Linked DNA regions of Notamacropus eugenii. The protein of the gene in region 1 purifies or fractionates together with the protein of each later gene. This does not show direct contact. Links are inferred from orthologs where the notes say so. Each region holds a gene or a part of one and is shown on either strand. Other genes may lie near its edges.

Region 1 (7,088 bases):
TCATTCCTAGTGCCCCAGCCTCTCCATGCAATAGGGTTGGGGCTCTGTCTCAAACTCTCCTACCTCCCCTCCTCTGTCAAAACTCCAATTCTTTAGGTAGCAATTGCCCGGAAGTCAGGGTTCAAACTTCAGCCAAGTGTGAATGGTTTGGGATTAGGAATCTGTTATCTGCCCCTCACCCCCTTACTTCCAACATCCACTTTCTCCCAGACTTGGGAGTATCAACAGTGCTTTTGGGGAAGGAGATTCAGAGTCCCTTACAGAGACTGTTGGGAAGGGACCTATCCCTGCCTTGGTGGGGGAAGAGTTCTCTTGGGACCATTGTTGCCTCTAGGGCCCTGGTCCTGCACTGGTAGTCTGACTTGATCCTTCTTCTATCATCCTTCCTTGGATTCCCCCCTCCATAGAGCTCAGGTGCACCTCTAAACCATGGTGTTCCACTTAGGGAAGTAGGACCCAGGCCTGCCTCTGTTGGAAGGTAGGGGGTTACACAGTCACAAAGAACCTCAGAGATGGAAGGGAACTTGGAAGTCACCTATTTCCACAGGAGGCATGAACCCCCACCCCCACCCCCACCTCTGTAACATCCTAGACAAGTAGTTGAAGTCATCAGGGAACTCAGTACCCTTTAAGCCAGCTCATTCCATTTTCCAAAAGCGGGGGAGAAGTGGCTGTCCTGGCAAAGCTGTTTACATGGTGGCCTTGGCCCCTTGGCTGTGCTATGTCAAGTTCCAGAGCCTTGGAACAGTTAATAAGAGCCATGGGCAGATCCCCTGTGGGGAGCATCTGGCCCAGGTAATTGCTCCCCTAGGGAGAGTAGGAAGAGAAAAATGGGAGGAGCTGAGTCAGGAAACTGGGGAGAGGCCTCCAGGGGGGGTCTGTAGCTACAGGAAGGACACACATTCACACAGCCAGGAAGGGTGCATATATACACATCCCAGAAGGGAGTCGTAGCTGTTTGTCACACCTCACTGTTTCCTCCCTTCCCTGAACAAACACCCCCAAAAGTTCAGCTTGTCCATTTCAAAATGCAGCTTGGGGAAGATAGTGGCCAAAAACAAAAAAAAAAAGGTGTTGGTCAGGACTGGGGATTCTTAAACCTCAGCCTTTAAGTTCTTGGAATCCGCAGACACTCATGTGACCTTGAAACAAGGTTCTAGTGCCTTGGATAAAACTTCCGCCCATCCTTGGAATAATCTCAGCACACACACTGACTTTTCCCAATTAAACATACCAAGTGACTTGGAGAATCTAAAGGATGGCAAAGTTCACACTTCCCATGTTCTCTAAGGAGGCACTGTTCTGTTTCTTTTTCTGGTCCACTTTCCCTACCACTAGACCACCAGGGGACCACACACTGTCCCAATTCTGATCAAATTTCCAGATCAGAAATCTGGGCAACCCTACCTTCCAAGCACCTGGAACAAAGATCCAAACCCAAATCAGATACTGGGGACTGCACACTTCAAGGTGTCTGTCCTAACTAGGAGAATGTGCCTGGTGACAGCTTTCCTGACCACTCTGGATTTGGGGAAGAGGAGAGAGGGAGAGTAGGATGAAGGATGGATGTTGAGTTGGTAACACAAAAGGGTTGGGTTTAGTCCCTAGAGTGGAGGGGAAATGGGGGTAGGGGGAGAATATCCCTGCCTGTGTGCCCTCCCCTACCTGCCATGTGGGGTCAGCATGGCGAAAGTAGCAGAAGTTATCTGTGATCCACTTGTAGATGGCGGAAAGAGTGATCTTGGTAGCCTTGCTGGCCTGCATGGCCATGCAAATGAGCGTGGCGTAGGAGTAGGGTGGCTTCACATGGGGGTTGGTGGCATAGTCCACGTCGTCGGAGGGTGGGGCCTGCAGCCCAGCGGGAGCACTCCGAGAAGTACAGGAGGAGGTGGGCTTGCCTGGGGTGTGTGGCTGTCCCAGGCAGGCGGGATCTGCAGCCAGGGGTGAGCCAGGGGCTGCTGAGCCTGGCACCTGGTGGTAGCCATGGGGGTCAGTCCCCGCAGGGGGCAGGGAGGGGGCCTTGGCGTTGAGGATGGAGAATTCCTGCAGCCACTGCAGACTGGTCAGGCTGTCATCCAGGCCGCTGGGCTCCTCCAGAGCGCCCTCCTCCACCGCCCCTGCTCCGGAGAGACGCAGCCAATTCTCTGCCATGTCTGGGGGGTCCTCCCCGCGGGTGAGCTCAGCATCCAAGTGCTGAGCGCGGGGACCGTCCTCCTGCGTTCTCTGACTCAGCGACCGCAGCTCCACTCACAGGGGGTCCCGGGCGGCGGTGCTTAGATCCATCCCGGGGCTGCCTCCAGCAAACACGTCGGGACAGCCGAGCCTGGGGGGTCGGGGTGGAAGGGGCAGAGTTAAGACTGAAGGCACCCCTCAGCCCCGGGGAGGCGCGGGTTCTTGTTAAATGGCCTTGCCAGGGTGGGACGGGGTCGGGAGCGGGGTAGGGAGTAGGGAGGTAGGGGTAGCAAGGTGTCCTGAGCGAGACGCGGAACACGTCGGGTCCAGGACGAGTCCGGTCCCAATTTCGGAAAGCCCACCCTGTTTGTCTCGCCTTCTCGTGCTAGGGTGGGCTCTCCTAGCCCCCAAAGTCCGGGTGCAGCGGTTCGGGGCCCCTGAGCTCTCCCGCTTTCTTGGAAGAACCGGCGTCCGGAGGGTTCGCCCCCAAACCACAGCAGGAATGGGGGACAGGGGAGCAGGGGGCCAGCTGTACAGGGAGGGAGGGCGGAAAACCGAGAAGGCAAGACCGAAGAAGCCGCAGGGACGGCTGGGGACTGGAGCAGAGGCGGGCAGGAGGACTCGGCCCCCCGAACCCGTGGGGGCGTCCGCCCGGGACGAGGAAGCCCGCTCCGGACTGGCTGCCCCCTCTGGCTCCTGCCCCAGTCCTCCCTCCCGCCTTCTTCCCCCTGTAGTCTTCCCTCCCCGCTCCCGCCCCTTACCTGGCTCAGAGCGCGGCCCCGGCCCGAGGAAGGTTCTGGAAGGAAAGGGCCCCCCCGCCCCCCGCCACTCTCCGCCCCCAGCTCGTGGCCCCGCCAGCGCCCCTCGTCCCACCCCCCCCTCCCGGCTGAGCTTCTCTGAGCGCTGGCGGCCCTGGGACCGGCATTAAGTAGCTGCTCGGGAAGGCTTCTCCCGCTGCCATGGCGACGCCCCACCCCCATAAACAGCTTCCGCGGCGGCCATTGGTCCGCGCGTCTCCATGGAGACCGCGGGCCTTGCCACTCTCCAGCCCGCTGCATCGCTTCGAACTCCGCGCTTGGTCTGGTCCTCACCCCGCCCCCTTCGCTCCGCGCATTCCCGCGCCCAGCGCCGCGGGCCCCGCGCTGAGAGCCGCAGACCCGCGCAGCTCCCGGGAGGCGGCTCGACCTTCTCACCGGTTGCCCCCGTCCCCGCCCTGCTTGACTGACGGGAAGCTCCCGGGACTGAGCTCCGGGCGGGCTGGGGGCCTTCTCGGGGCCGTGCGAGGCACTCCGTCAAGTTCCTGCAGCCTTTGCTGCGGCCCTGGTTCTCTTTGTGTTCCCTGACCCCTGATCCCCAGGGTCATCCAAGGTCGCTGGCAGGTCTGTCTGTCTGTCCGATGCCACCGCCCGGGAGCCAAGCGAAAGTCTGGAGCAGACCGGAGCACAGCTCAGGGACATTATCCTTCTTTGTGCCATGGCCAGCCAGCTAGGGAAAGCCACTTTTCACTGAATACCTTCTCTCCATCCCCCCTCTCCCCTAATATATTAGAGGGAAGGGGGGCACAAGACAGCAAACCTCAAAGAGCAAGGTGAGAAACTCCGATGGACCTGTAGTTTCTTACCTTTTGGCAGAAAGGAGCCCCCTCCCCCCTCTCCTCCATTTCTCTGGCTTCCCCCTAGTCACTAACGTTCCTGATGTTTAATTATTAAAGGCCTCAGAGTACTTAGAAGTTCTCCAGTTTGCCTTAGCAGAATCAAGGGCTGGGGAGGGGAGTTCATCACACAGGCCTGTACAGGGAGAACTGGGGTCATCTGGGGGAGGGAAAGGGGAGCTGTTGCCCAGGAGGTTGGTGCGGAAGCTCTGGGAAAGGCATGTCAACTCCCACCAAGAAGCATTCCCTCCCCCCTCCACCTTGACCTCTTACTCTTCCACATCCCCTACCTCCAGGGAACCTCTTTAGTAACTGCAGGATGTTTTGGGGGAAATTGGTACAGAATCTCTCAAAAGCAGGCCAAATTCTCAGTCACCAGCTGCCCCTTCCTCTTGTAAACAGTTTTATTTACTTTTGAGAGCCATGCAGAAATCCATAAACATTGCATTGTTGACGTGGCACCTGCAGCATTACCTATGTGTGCACCCCAAAGGTAGCAGGGGATGCACACATACACTGTCACCAACAGTAAGCACATAAACACACACACACAAAGTGTGCAAAGTCTCTGGGAAACATCATGCCACTTCTGCACCAGTCCCAGCATCAGTTTGAAATAAGATACTTTCTTGGTTATGAGTGCTCTACATGCACTAAAAGCTCCCAGGATGGTGGGGATTCCAGGTGGAATAGAACTGGCTCGGGGAATGGGAGGAGGAAGAAAATGTCTTAGTGAGGAAATCAAAACCATCCCATCCTTGGAAAATAATAGGACGGGAACAGAACAAGGTGTGGCAAAGGAGCGATTTGGTGTTACAGCTCATCCTATTCAAGTCCTTCCTTATCCCACAGCTCCCACCAGACCTCTCTTCTTCCCCCATTTGGATCCACTACAGAAGAGGGAGGTGGCCTTCCTCTACTGATGCTTCTGGACCTGCCTTTTTCACTCTCTCTCTTAGAAACATTGTGGCTTTATCCCTGATGTGTTTTCTTAACCTGATAGGGTCAAAGCAGACCATGGTTGGTATTGTCATTTGGGGGTGGGGTGGTCATTTCAAAGCCAGGCTGGCAAGTAAGTGCCTCACGTCTTAATAGCATGGGTTTTGTCAGGTCCTGCTGAATGGGATAATTACCTGCGAAGTATCTAAATAGGAAAAAAAAAAAAAAGAGGAACTATCTTAAGAAAAAAGGGGCTAAGGAGCTGTTTCCACCACATTTACATCTTCGCAGTGGGGGGTGAGGAGACAGTTTTGAAACAAGAAAAGGATTACTACCACCTTTCTTCTGGGTCTCAGCCTTCAATTTCTTGCTGGCTATTTGAGGCAGAGGGATGAGTTGTAGGTTCTGACACCCCAGCATCAAAAGACACAGGTAATCAGTAAAGGGAATGAGGATATTTATTTTGGTTTAAGGTTCCTGGCCGCCTTGGCTACTGTTTAACTGTGGTCTCCATTAGCCCATCTCCTCCCCCAAGCATCCTGTTTAACACTACCCAGTGACTGCTAGAGGTAGGTCTGCATGCTCACTGATGTAACCACCCAGATTACAGAGGCCCAAGGAAAGGGATTATTGCTTAACTATGCTTATTTTAATTTTTGCTTTAGGAAAGAGTGATTGTGGGACAGATAAAGGACCAAGGGTCTTTCTTGGGATGTTAAGAATTACTGATTCAAAAGACTGCCTTAGTTATTAAGCTTTTGAGTTGTCAAGCCATAACCAGGAATAGTAGAGAAAAAACAAAAACTTGTTTTGGATCTGCACCTGGATAGGCTTCTTACACCTCAGGGAATGTACAGTTAGACCACTAGGTTGTACACAAGACCTCTTCTGGGGTGGGAAACCATGGGGAAAGGTAGAGGGGAGTTCTCAGGGTCTTTAGGTCATAGGTCTTTAGAGCATGGACTTACATAGGCTTTCTAACACAGGAATACAGGAGAGCTCCTCCTGGAAAATAAATATATTCCTCAAGGACGCCTGTACCCAGTCACTGGAAGCTTCACTTTTCCACATTCCCTGACCACTCCCCGCCCCTCCACAAAAGCCTATGATCTCCCTTTTAAATGCTATTAACTAAACAGTATCCAGAACTCCTCCAAATAACCCTGATGGGGGGATAGGAATGATACCTGACTTAGAGGCTAGCCTTTTTGGTTCAGGATTTTATTGTATGCACTTATGTTTCAAAGCACCTCATTTGACCTGAACTATATTGTAATCCAAGTTCTATGTAGTAACAGATCTGCTCCTCCACTGAACCTCTTAGTATTAGCTAAGGCTAAGCAGGAAGGAATGTAAGGGGGAAGCCCTGGAGGTGGAGGAGGCCTGCTCACTCCCTTCATATAGCTCAGTGAGTTCACTGATGCCACATGCCTCCCCTCCCCTCCCCTCCAGCTATTTGAGGCTCTACTTCAGACCCTCATTCCTTTCCCCAGGGTCCCTGGACACTAATGTGAGAACCATTGGTAAGTACTACACACATCTGGAAGAAGGATGGCAGACCTTCATTCATGTATATTGTCCAGAGCACAAACAGTTGAGAACTTAGTGTCAAGGTTCCCCATAAAGAGAGTGGTCCTGTCTCCAGGACAGAGCACAAAGAGGCAAAAGCTAGAATTCTATGGTAAGAAAGATTTAACCATCCCACTGGATACTACTTTTCAGAGTGGGTAGAGAAACTGCTTCAAGATAGCTTAGTACCCGATGCCTGGTTTGCTCTGCCATGGATGAGGGCTAACCCAAAAGAAGAGTTGCCAAGGTAGTTTAATTGTGCTGGAGGTCAGATAATGTAACATGGGTAAAGGAAAGTGAAGCAGCCAATTTTCTGAGCCTTCCTGCTGTAACCATAAGGAAAAAAAATGGAGACCAGGCAGGCAGCACACAACGAGCTGTTCTACCTAAGAGGGCAGATGGGGCAGAAGTCTGTGAAAAGGCAATGATGAACCATAGTTCATCAACTTGACTTTAGCTCCAGGTAGAGGGACTTCCAGTCTGTTCCAAGTGGAGATCCAGGGAGTAGGAGAAGGTGGACAAGGTGTAGAATGACTTTGACATCCAGTTTTACACACAGATATAAAAAGTCAGCACAGGTCTTAGTGGGAATACCCATGAGGTCAGCAGTCCAGTGGGGGACACATTGGAATGTGAGGATGGAAAAAGGCCCTGTAATGACAGGGACTAGGACTCTTCAGACAGCCTCCTTACACAAGGCTTGTTCTCAGGGTCCTCCAGGCTGCTTTGATGACAAGTGCCAGCATTGACTGTTCCT
Region 2 (7,711 bases), about 140 Mb from region 1:
GAAGAGAGAAGGATAAATTTCGATCACAGAGCACTCTGAAGGGCAAATCAATTAGCATTTTAGGCTTCAAAGGCAAGAAGAACTACAAGATTCAGAGGGGCTGAATGGGTGAAGATGAAGGAATCTTTTTTTCTTTTAAAAAACATTTTCTATACTAAATTCTGAAGCCAGGAAAGGAAAAAGAAATCATTTTACTCTTCCGTGAGGCATCTCAAAAGTTCTTGGAAGCCCAGTCACAATCTAGTACATTCAACTCTACAGTTAAGTTATGTTATCAGCTGGACAGGGCTTTGTGGGCTGGTCTGGAAATCTAACCAGCATTATTCCCGTAAAAAAGGGATTTTCACGCTTTTGGGGCTCAGTACCTTCCCTGCTAAAAAAAAAATTGTTGAGGCCCCTCCCAAAGAGTTTTTGCTTATGTGGATTATACCTATCAATATTTACCATTTTAGAAATTAAAACATCTTAGTATTATGAAAAGTTTTATTGTTTTGGGCTCCATCAAAGGTTGTCAGGGACCCCTTCTCTCATCTACAGTCTTCATACCACTCTTTGAAAATCTATCTAGCAAGTAGATAGAGTTCTGGGACTGGAATCAGGAAGACCAGAGCTCAAATCCATCCTTAGACACTTACTAGATAGAACGTGACTCTAAGCACAATTTCCTCTAATGCAAAATGGGGAAAAAAAACATCTACCTTGAAGGATTGTTGTGAAGATCAAATGAGATAATACTGTAAAAAGCACTTAGCACAGTACTGAATATAGAGTAGGTACTATATAAATGCTTATTCCCTTCTCCTGCCTTCCCCAGAAAGACAGAGAAGATAAAGGGAAGTTCCCTTCTGAACTCCAGACCCCTTAAATTCATTTGCAAGTTTGAGCTTCCTTTTTGGTGCTGAATCTGACAGCCACTTAATATTGAAATAATGCTGTTACTTAATGAAATATGCCTCTTCCCCACCTCAAAAAAAAAAAAAAAGAAAAAGAAAAGATCTGCCATACTATTTTTACAGGGGAACCTAAGTGCAGCTAAGGTGCTGAAGCTGAAATCAAGAAGACCCGAGTTAAAAGCTCACCTCTGAAACTTATTAGCTGTATGATCCAAGAAAAAAATAAATGACTCTGCCTCTCTAACCTCCAGTTTACTCCTCTGTAAAATGGTAATAATATTTGTATTACGTACTTCATAGAGTTGTGGTGATCAAATGAGATAAATGAATGTAAAGCTGTTTGTAAATCTAAATGTCTATTCTTATTACAAGTTTAACTAAGCTACTAGTATCAATTATCATTAAAATGATTTGACACACACTGCATGTGACATAATACCATCCATCTTGTATTTGGCTTAAAGTTTGTCCAGGATCGTATATCATCCAACTAGTTGTGCTGCCTAAGAAAAAACAGAACAGTATCTGCCTAAACCTGAGTCTTCCTTGATTTTTTTCTCCATGTATAAGGGAAAATTAAAAACCCAGAATCTAATCAAATAAAATTATTCCTCCCTAGCCTCTCAAAGGAATATCATCTAATGGTCTGTACTGAGACTTGAAATGAGGAAATATGCAAGTAGACTGAGATTATGCATAATCATAAACCTGGATGAAAATTATCATTAACGAAGCAAAAAAAATTCTAAAACTAATCATTGGCTAAAAGATAACTAAGGGTTCTAATCAGAGCAGCTGCAGCGTAACTAATGGAATCACTAATAATGCCAAGAATCCCCAGGGGTGCATAACAACTACCTTGCTGAGGTAAGCCAGAATATGAAGGGTTTAGAAAAAATTATGGAATCTTGAGGTCAGGTTTTGAAAGTTACTATATATATTATACAAACTGATATTTCATTTATAAAATTCAGCTCATCAGAAAAATCCCAGTCTGAAAAATCCCCACTGAAACTCCATTATCCTAATCTTTCAGTAAAGAAATAAAGTCCTTCGATCCCTGAACCAAGAACAAAATACTGCACTCCCGGGGGATAGTCATTCCCTCTGTGCTGATTAGACTCAAAAATGAGATTCTTTAACTCTCTGGTTTTAAGTAATTAAACCTCCCCCCTACCCCTAATCCAGCTACAGGGTATTAGCGGGTACGTGGGTGGAGGGGAAGGAAGGTGTGGAGAAGTGTTAGGGGGAACACGAAGGAGAGAGATAAGGGGAAGGGAAGCACGAAAGGTATTTTTTTAAGTCAGACTTAAGAGTTCCCCCTGCGGACCCACCCACTCCTCAAAGGAGCCTCGTCGGGAGGGCGCAGGTAAAAGACTAAGCCGACAGAGGGAAGGAGCGGCAGGTTTCCCTCAGACACCGCTTCCCAGGGCCCTTTAAACTTCTCCCCTCCGTGTAAGAGCTCGCTGAAAATCCCAAACCAAGCTTTACTTGTGAAAGTTTTCGTCAGTTTCCTCCAGGTGCAAGAGGACCTCCTCCGCGCACTCGAGGGAGGGAGCGCCCGTGATCTTCTCCTTCACGCTCTGCAGCAACTGCCTGAGCATGGCCTGCAGCCGAGCCTCGTCCTCGCCGGAGAAATGGGCCATCTGTGGGGACAACACCAGGGAGCCCGGTGAGTTTAAAAGCCCCGGACCGGGGACGCGGCGCGTTCCACCCCTCCCCCCAGGGGGCGGGGCCGAGGCCCAGCCGCGGAGAAGGCCCCACGCTAGGGGCGGGGCTCCCCGGCCTCTTTCCAAAGAGCAGACCGCCTTACTTTAGGAAGAGAGGGACGCGACGGTCCCTGCCTAGGGAAGCGGACCCAGATGCCACCGAGGGAGAGGGCGAGGGCGAGGACGACGCAGCCGCCTTCGCCTCCACCTTTTCCAAAGACCCAGGCCGGCGGGGGCTAACCCACAGCAAGGGTAGAGTGAAAAGGAGGAGGCTGGCACCTTACGGGAACGACTGCGTTAGCGTGATGACGTGAACGTCGACGGGAAAGTAATCTCCGCCCCCATCTCCTTCTGGAGAAAGAAGGTTGGAAAGAGCAGAAGGGCGGGCCGGGGAGGCGGGGCTCTGGTAAGGCGGGGCTCTGAAGGGGTGGGGCTCTGAGGGGGTGGGGCTTGTGGGAGCTTAGGGGGCGGGGCTATGCGGAGGCGGGGCTCTGGAAGGGGGCGGGAATCCAGAGGGAAAGAGAGAATACAGTGGGTGGAAGGGAATGCAGTGGGTAAAGAGGGGCTGGACGGGGAGGAAGGGGCTCAGCTGAAAGGGAGAGGCCAGACGGATGTAACTGTTGATTTTAGTTCTTGGGAAAGGAAAAGAGAAATCGGGAGGATGGGGAACATTTTTGCATGTGTGTTGTAGACCCCTTGGTCACCTGCTGAACCCATGAACCTTTTCTTACCATTTATTCGTTCGGTTGCTTTTCAGCCCTATCCAGCTCTTCGTGACCCACTTTGGGATTTTCTTGGCAAAGATACTGGAGTGGGTTTGCCGTTTCCGTCTCCCGCTGATTTGACAGATGGGGAAACTGAGGCAAGCGGGGTGAAGCGCCTTGCCTAGGGTCACACAGCTAGAGGCTGAAGCCAGACTTGAGCTCAGGGAAATTGTTCCTCCTGACTTGACCCTCTATCCCCTGCACCACTTAGCTGCCCCTTTCTCAAGATGTTTTTAAATGCATAAAATAAGATACATGGGATTCTAAGGAAAACCTGTTATGATAACTAAATAGTTTCATTTGTTTTTCAAGCTGCTGGACTCCAAATGAACAACCCCTCATTAAGAGGAAGGGCAGGGATTTAGAAGGGAGGAAGTGATAAGAGGTAAAGGATCACTTAATCTAAATTTAAAATTGAAAGTGATGCTTGAGAAAGTTGAGAATGCAGAATGAGTGATAGTGACAGAGCTGCATTAAGATTATGTACTTCACACTCTTAAAGAAATCAGAGGAATCAAAAAAAAGTTAATGCTTAAACATGCTGTTACATACAGGGTTCATATTTAAGCAATTTAAGAGCCTTACCACAGGTTATCTCCTTCCTTCTGGCAACAACAATCTTAACTGATTTTTTAAAAAATATTAAATTCATTATTTATTTATTTTTAACATTCCTTTTTTAAAAACTTTTAAATGCTGCATTCTCTCTTTCCCTCCAGTCCCTTCTCTGTCATTGAGAAGGCCAGCAATATAATATCAATTATACATGTGAAATGCAAAACATATTTTCATTGTTATCCATGTTGCAAAAAAAGCAAGAAAAATAAAGTGAAAAATTATGCTTCAATCTGCACTCAGAATTTATTTAGTTCTCTGTCTGGAAATGGATAGCATTTTTCATCATGTGTGCTTCAGAATTGTCTTGGATGATTGTTTTGATCAGAGTTGCTAAGTCTTTCACAGTTGTTCATCATTGCAATATTGCCATTACCATATGCATTATTCTCCTGGTTCTGCTTATTTCACTTTGCATCAGTTCACATCTTCCCAGGTTTTTCTAAAACCATCCTGATCACTATTTCTTATATATAGCACAACAGTATTACATCACACACAACTTGTTCAACCATTCTAAGGTTATCCCCTCCATTTCCAATTCTTTGCTACTACAAAAAGGGCTACTTTTTTTTTTTTTGTACATGTAGGTACTTTTCCTTTCTCTTTTATCTCTCTGGGTAACTGGTATGAGTAACTTAGATGTCTGAGTGGGAAGCCACTCTAGAAAGCAACATTTTAAGGAATCAAAAGATGGAGCACATTCTCTGAAGTATCAAACACTGTGTAACATAGTGTTCTATATGATCCAATAAATGTAAAACTGTATTAAGCACTTTCCAGGTGTTAGGTGCCTTAGGATACCTGGTGGTACAAAAATCAGCAAGCATGGCAGTCTGTGCCTTCAGGAAGAGAACTTCACCTCCAGAGTGGATTTTGTGTGTTAAATGTCAGCACCAGGGAAGGACAAGTAAGACCTGCATTTCTTCAGCCATAAAAATGAAGAGGTTGCACTAGATGATCTTTTCTTCCAGTTAGAAATCTATAGACTAATGGTTTTCAGCATAATTGAACTTTATCATTCTGGGACTCCAACTTAGAATCTCATTAGGGCATGCAACATGGTACAGAAACTTGAATGGTATAAAATGGAAAGCAACTTGAAAGGAATAATATGTTCCATTCCACTTCTTGGCAGTTTCCTTAACATGTCTGCTCCCTAGCCATTAAGCCTATCCTTTTCTCCCTCCCATCTGAACCTGGTTTCCCAGACATGAATAGGGGAGCTTTTGCTTTATCTTTCCTGACCCATAGCTCTGCACAAATTCTCTCAATCTCTCAGCATCTCTTCCCTCCCACCATCTTCCAGCACCACACCCCAAATCTTTGTTTCCTTTCATTTGGAATGTAAGCTTCTGGAAGGCCTTGCTTGCTGGTGTTTCTACTGTAAGATATTGTAGAGTACCTAACACTTGGTAAATACTTAAAATTTTTATTTGCCAATCAGTACAACTCTACTTACATATACTTCTGTAAGCAAATGAATTCCACATTAGTCCCTGAGAGGATTCTGTGCTTAAAAGACATCTTCGAGACATTTTGAGGGTTTTGATTTTAGTGAGCCAAAATCTTGAAATTTTTGTGTAGAGACAATATGTATGGCTCCTGCCATAAATAGAACCAATCAATTAATCAATAACCCTTTATTAAGTACCTAGTACTTACTGAGCAGTATGTTAGGCTCTGGGGATACAAATACAGAAAGGAAAGAGTTCAGGTTCCCAAGGGGGAGATGATACATATACATATAAGTTTATAACATATGCAAAATTAATACAAGGTAATTGGTGGGGGCAAGTGAGTATGAAAGACCTCAAGTAAAAGCTAGCGTTTAATCTGGAATTTGAAAGAAACTAGTTATTATAAGAGATGGAAGTGAGGAAGGAGTGATTCCAGACATGGAAGACAGCTTGTACAAAGACATGGAGACAGGAGATGAAATGTCCTATCATTGTGTTGACGTATATCTCCCCCCAAAATATGTCATTCTAAGATTATTCCCTGCCCTTCCCTTACCTAAAAGAGATTTGCTAAATATGTGGGGTTATTGAAAATGCACTTTTGACAAACAACATCAACCATTGTCCACAAAATTAAATTTCATGCTGAGGATGGAAAACTAAACCCATGAAAACCAGTGGAATTGACTATATCTTAAAAGCAAAGGTGTTAAACACACGGTCTACTGCAGCATGTGGCTTACTGTCCAACCAAGTTAAAATGCAATTACAAAATGTCTAATAAAATAGATAGAAATAAAATTGAAAATATATAGTTAATTTGTGACTTCCTAAATGAATATTTCCCCTGAAGGGATCTTTTTCTAATTCAGTTTGACACCATTGTCTTAAAGGGACCAGAAATCCCTGGTTAACAGTGTAGAAGTCTTCCTAAAATGAGGAGGTTCTATGCATTCAGTCATGCATTTACTTAAATCAAAAATCCCAATAAGTGCCAGAGGAAAAGCAAGAATAAAGATGAAAAGAAAACACTGGCTGAAATTACAACTACTATATAAATCCAATTTGATCTATGCAAACAAGGCATGACTTTTTTTTTTTTAATGGGGAATTGATAAAGGCAAAGACATAATTATAAGCTACCATTTTTTTCAGAAGTTAGAAGTTGCCACTACATGGAATAAGCACCAAAGGACCCAGAAACTATTTCAAATAACTAATACTTGTATTTTATAAAGTGGATAGACATAACACCCAAGTACAACACCAAAATCCCAAAACCTAAGAGGTAGAAGATACCACAGAGACCATCCACTCCAACCTCCATCCTACCAAAAAAAGACCTCCAGCATCCCCAAAGTGATCATTCATCCTACCTAAAGGCCATCATTGAGGAAGAGAGAGCCCTCCATGCCCATTCCAAATTTTGATATCTCTAATTGTTTAGAAGTGATTCATAGGATTTAGAGCAAGAGGAGATGTTGGAGGTAGGTGTAATGTTAATAGGAGTTGAAGATCTTCCCAGTCCATTACTAGGGCTCAAACAGAGCCCATTAAGGGAAGCTTGTTTAATAGAGGTTTGCTTGCTTGAAGGCTTTCACACCATTTGGTAATTAGGCACTGAAGCACTTGTGGGTTATGATGCCTTCTGGCTCTATATATTCTGAGTTAAGCATTTTACTTTGGGGCTCACTCATTGGAAAAAGGTTCATGTGATTTGGCCAGATGAGATTCTGGGTAGTCATTAAGGAGCCCCCTGGCTTTGAAAACCCAGGTGTTGGTACTTCTCTCTCTGGTAACTATGTATGTAATGCTTTGGTCAGACAGCTGGATCTGTCTGTTGATCTGTGACAATTTCTCAAAACAGTTAGAAGCCCTGTCTGTTGACCTCTGCTATTTTCTCTGCTTGTAATTTCTGTTTGTATTTTCTCTGAAGTTAAGGGTTCTGATTTTTCCCCTGAACTAAGTGAATGATATATATGTTTAATTACAGTGATTGTTGACCCCTTTAAGTAACTTTCCTTTAAGAAAAGTAGAATCAAGAACCTATATTAGCAGGTCATCCTGGATGTGCTTGGGTGCTTGCTGTTATAGTAGGTCATCTAGTTTTATAGAAGGAGAAAATTGAGGTCCATAGAAATGACTTGTTCAAGGTCCTACAGGTAATAAATGGCAGAGCTTACACTTGAACTAAATCCTCCAAGTCCAAATTCAGTGCTCTTCACTTCATCACATTACTTATACCTGTATGGACATGAGATTGTAGTATG

What was found. The genes of interacting proteins can lie anywhere in the genome.
Region 2: the proteins of FOXJ1 (region 1) and TBC1D32 purify together in Homo sapiens (affinity purification with mass spectrometry; 3 studies listed by BioGRID and IntAct, counting the BioPlex papers as one, with this or other methods). This does not show direct contact. The link is inferred for Notamacropus eugenii from reciprocal best matches to the Homo sapiens genes FOXJ1 and TBC1D32.

The regions. Positions count from the first base shown.
Region 1 is NC_092873.1:342,501,211-342,508,298, forward strand, and holds the start of FOXJ1 (forkhead box protein J1), read right to left. Parts: upstream 3,022-7,088; 5' UTR 2,934-3,021; intron 2,324-2,933; 5' UTR 2,152-2,323; coding exon 1,666-2,151; intron 1-1,665. Other genes in the region: E3 ubiquitin ligase RNF157, read right to left, coding at 7,038-7,088. UniProt on the Homo sapiens protein: Transcription factor specifically required for the formation of motile cilia. Acts by activating transcription of genes that mediate assembly of motile cilia, such as CFAP157.
Region 2 is NC_092873.1:203,877,548-203,885,258, forward strand, and holds the start of TBC1D32 (protein broad-minded), read right to left. Parts: upstream 3,008-7,711; 5' UTR 2,707-3,007; intron 2,540-2,706; coding exon 2,385-2,539; intron 1-2,384.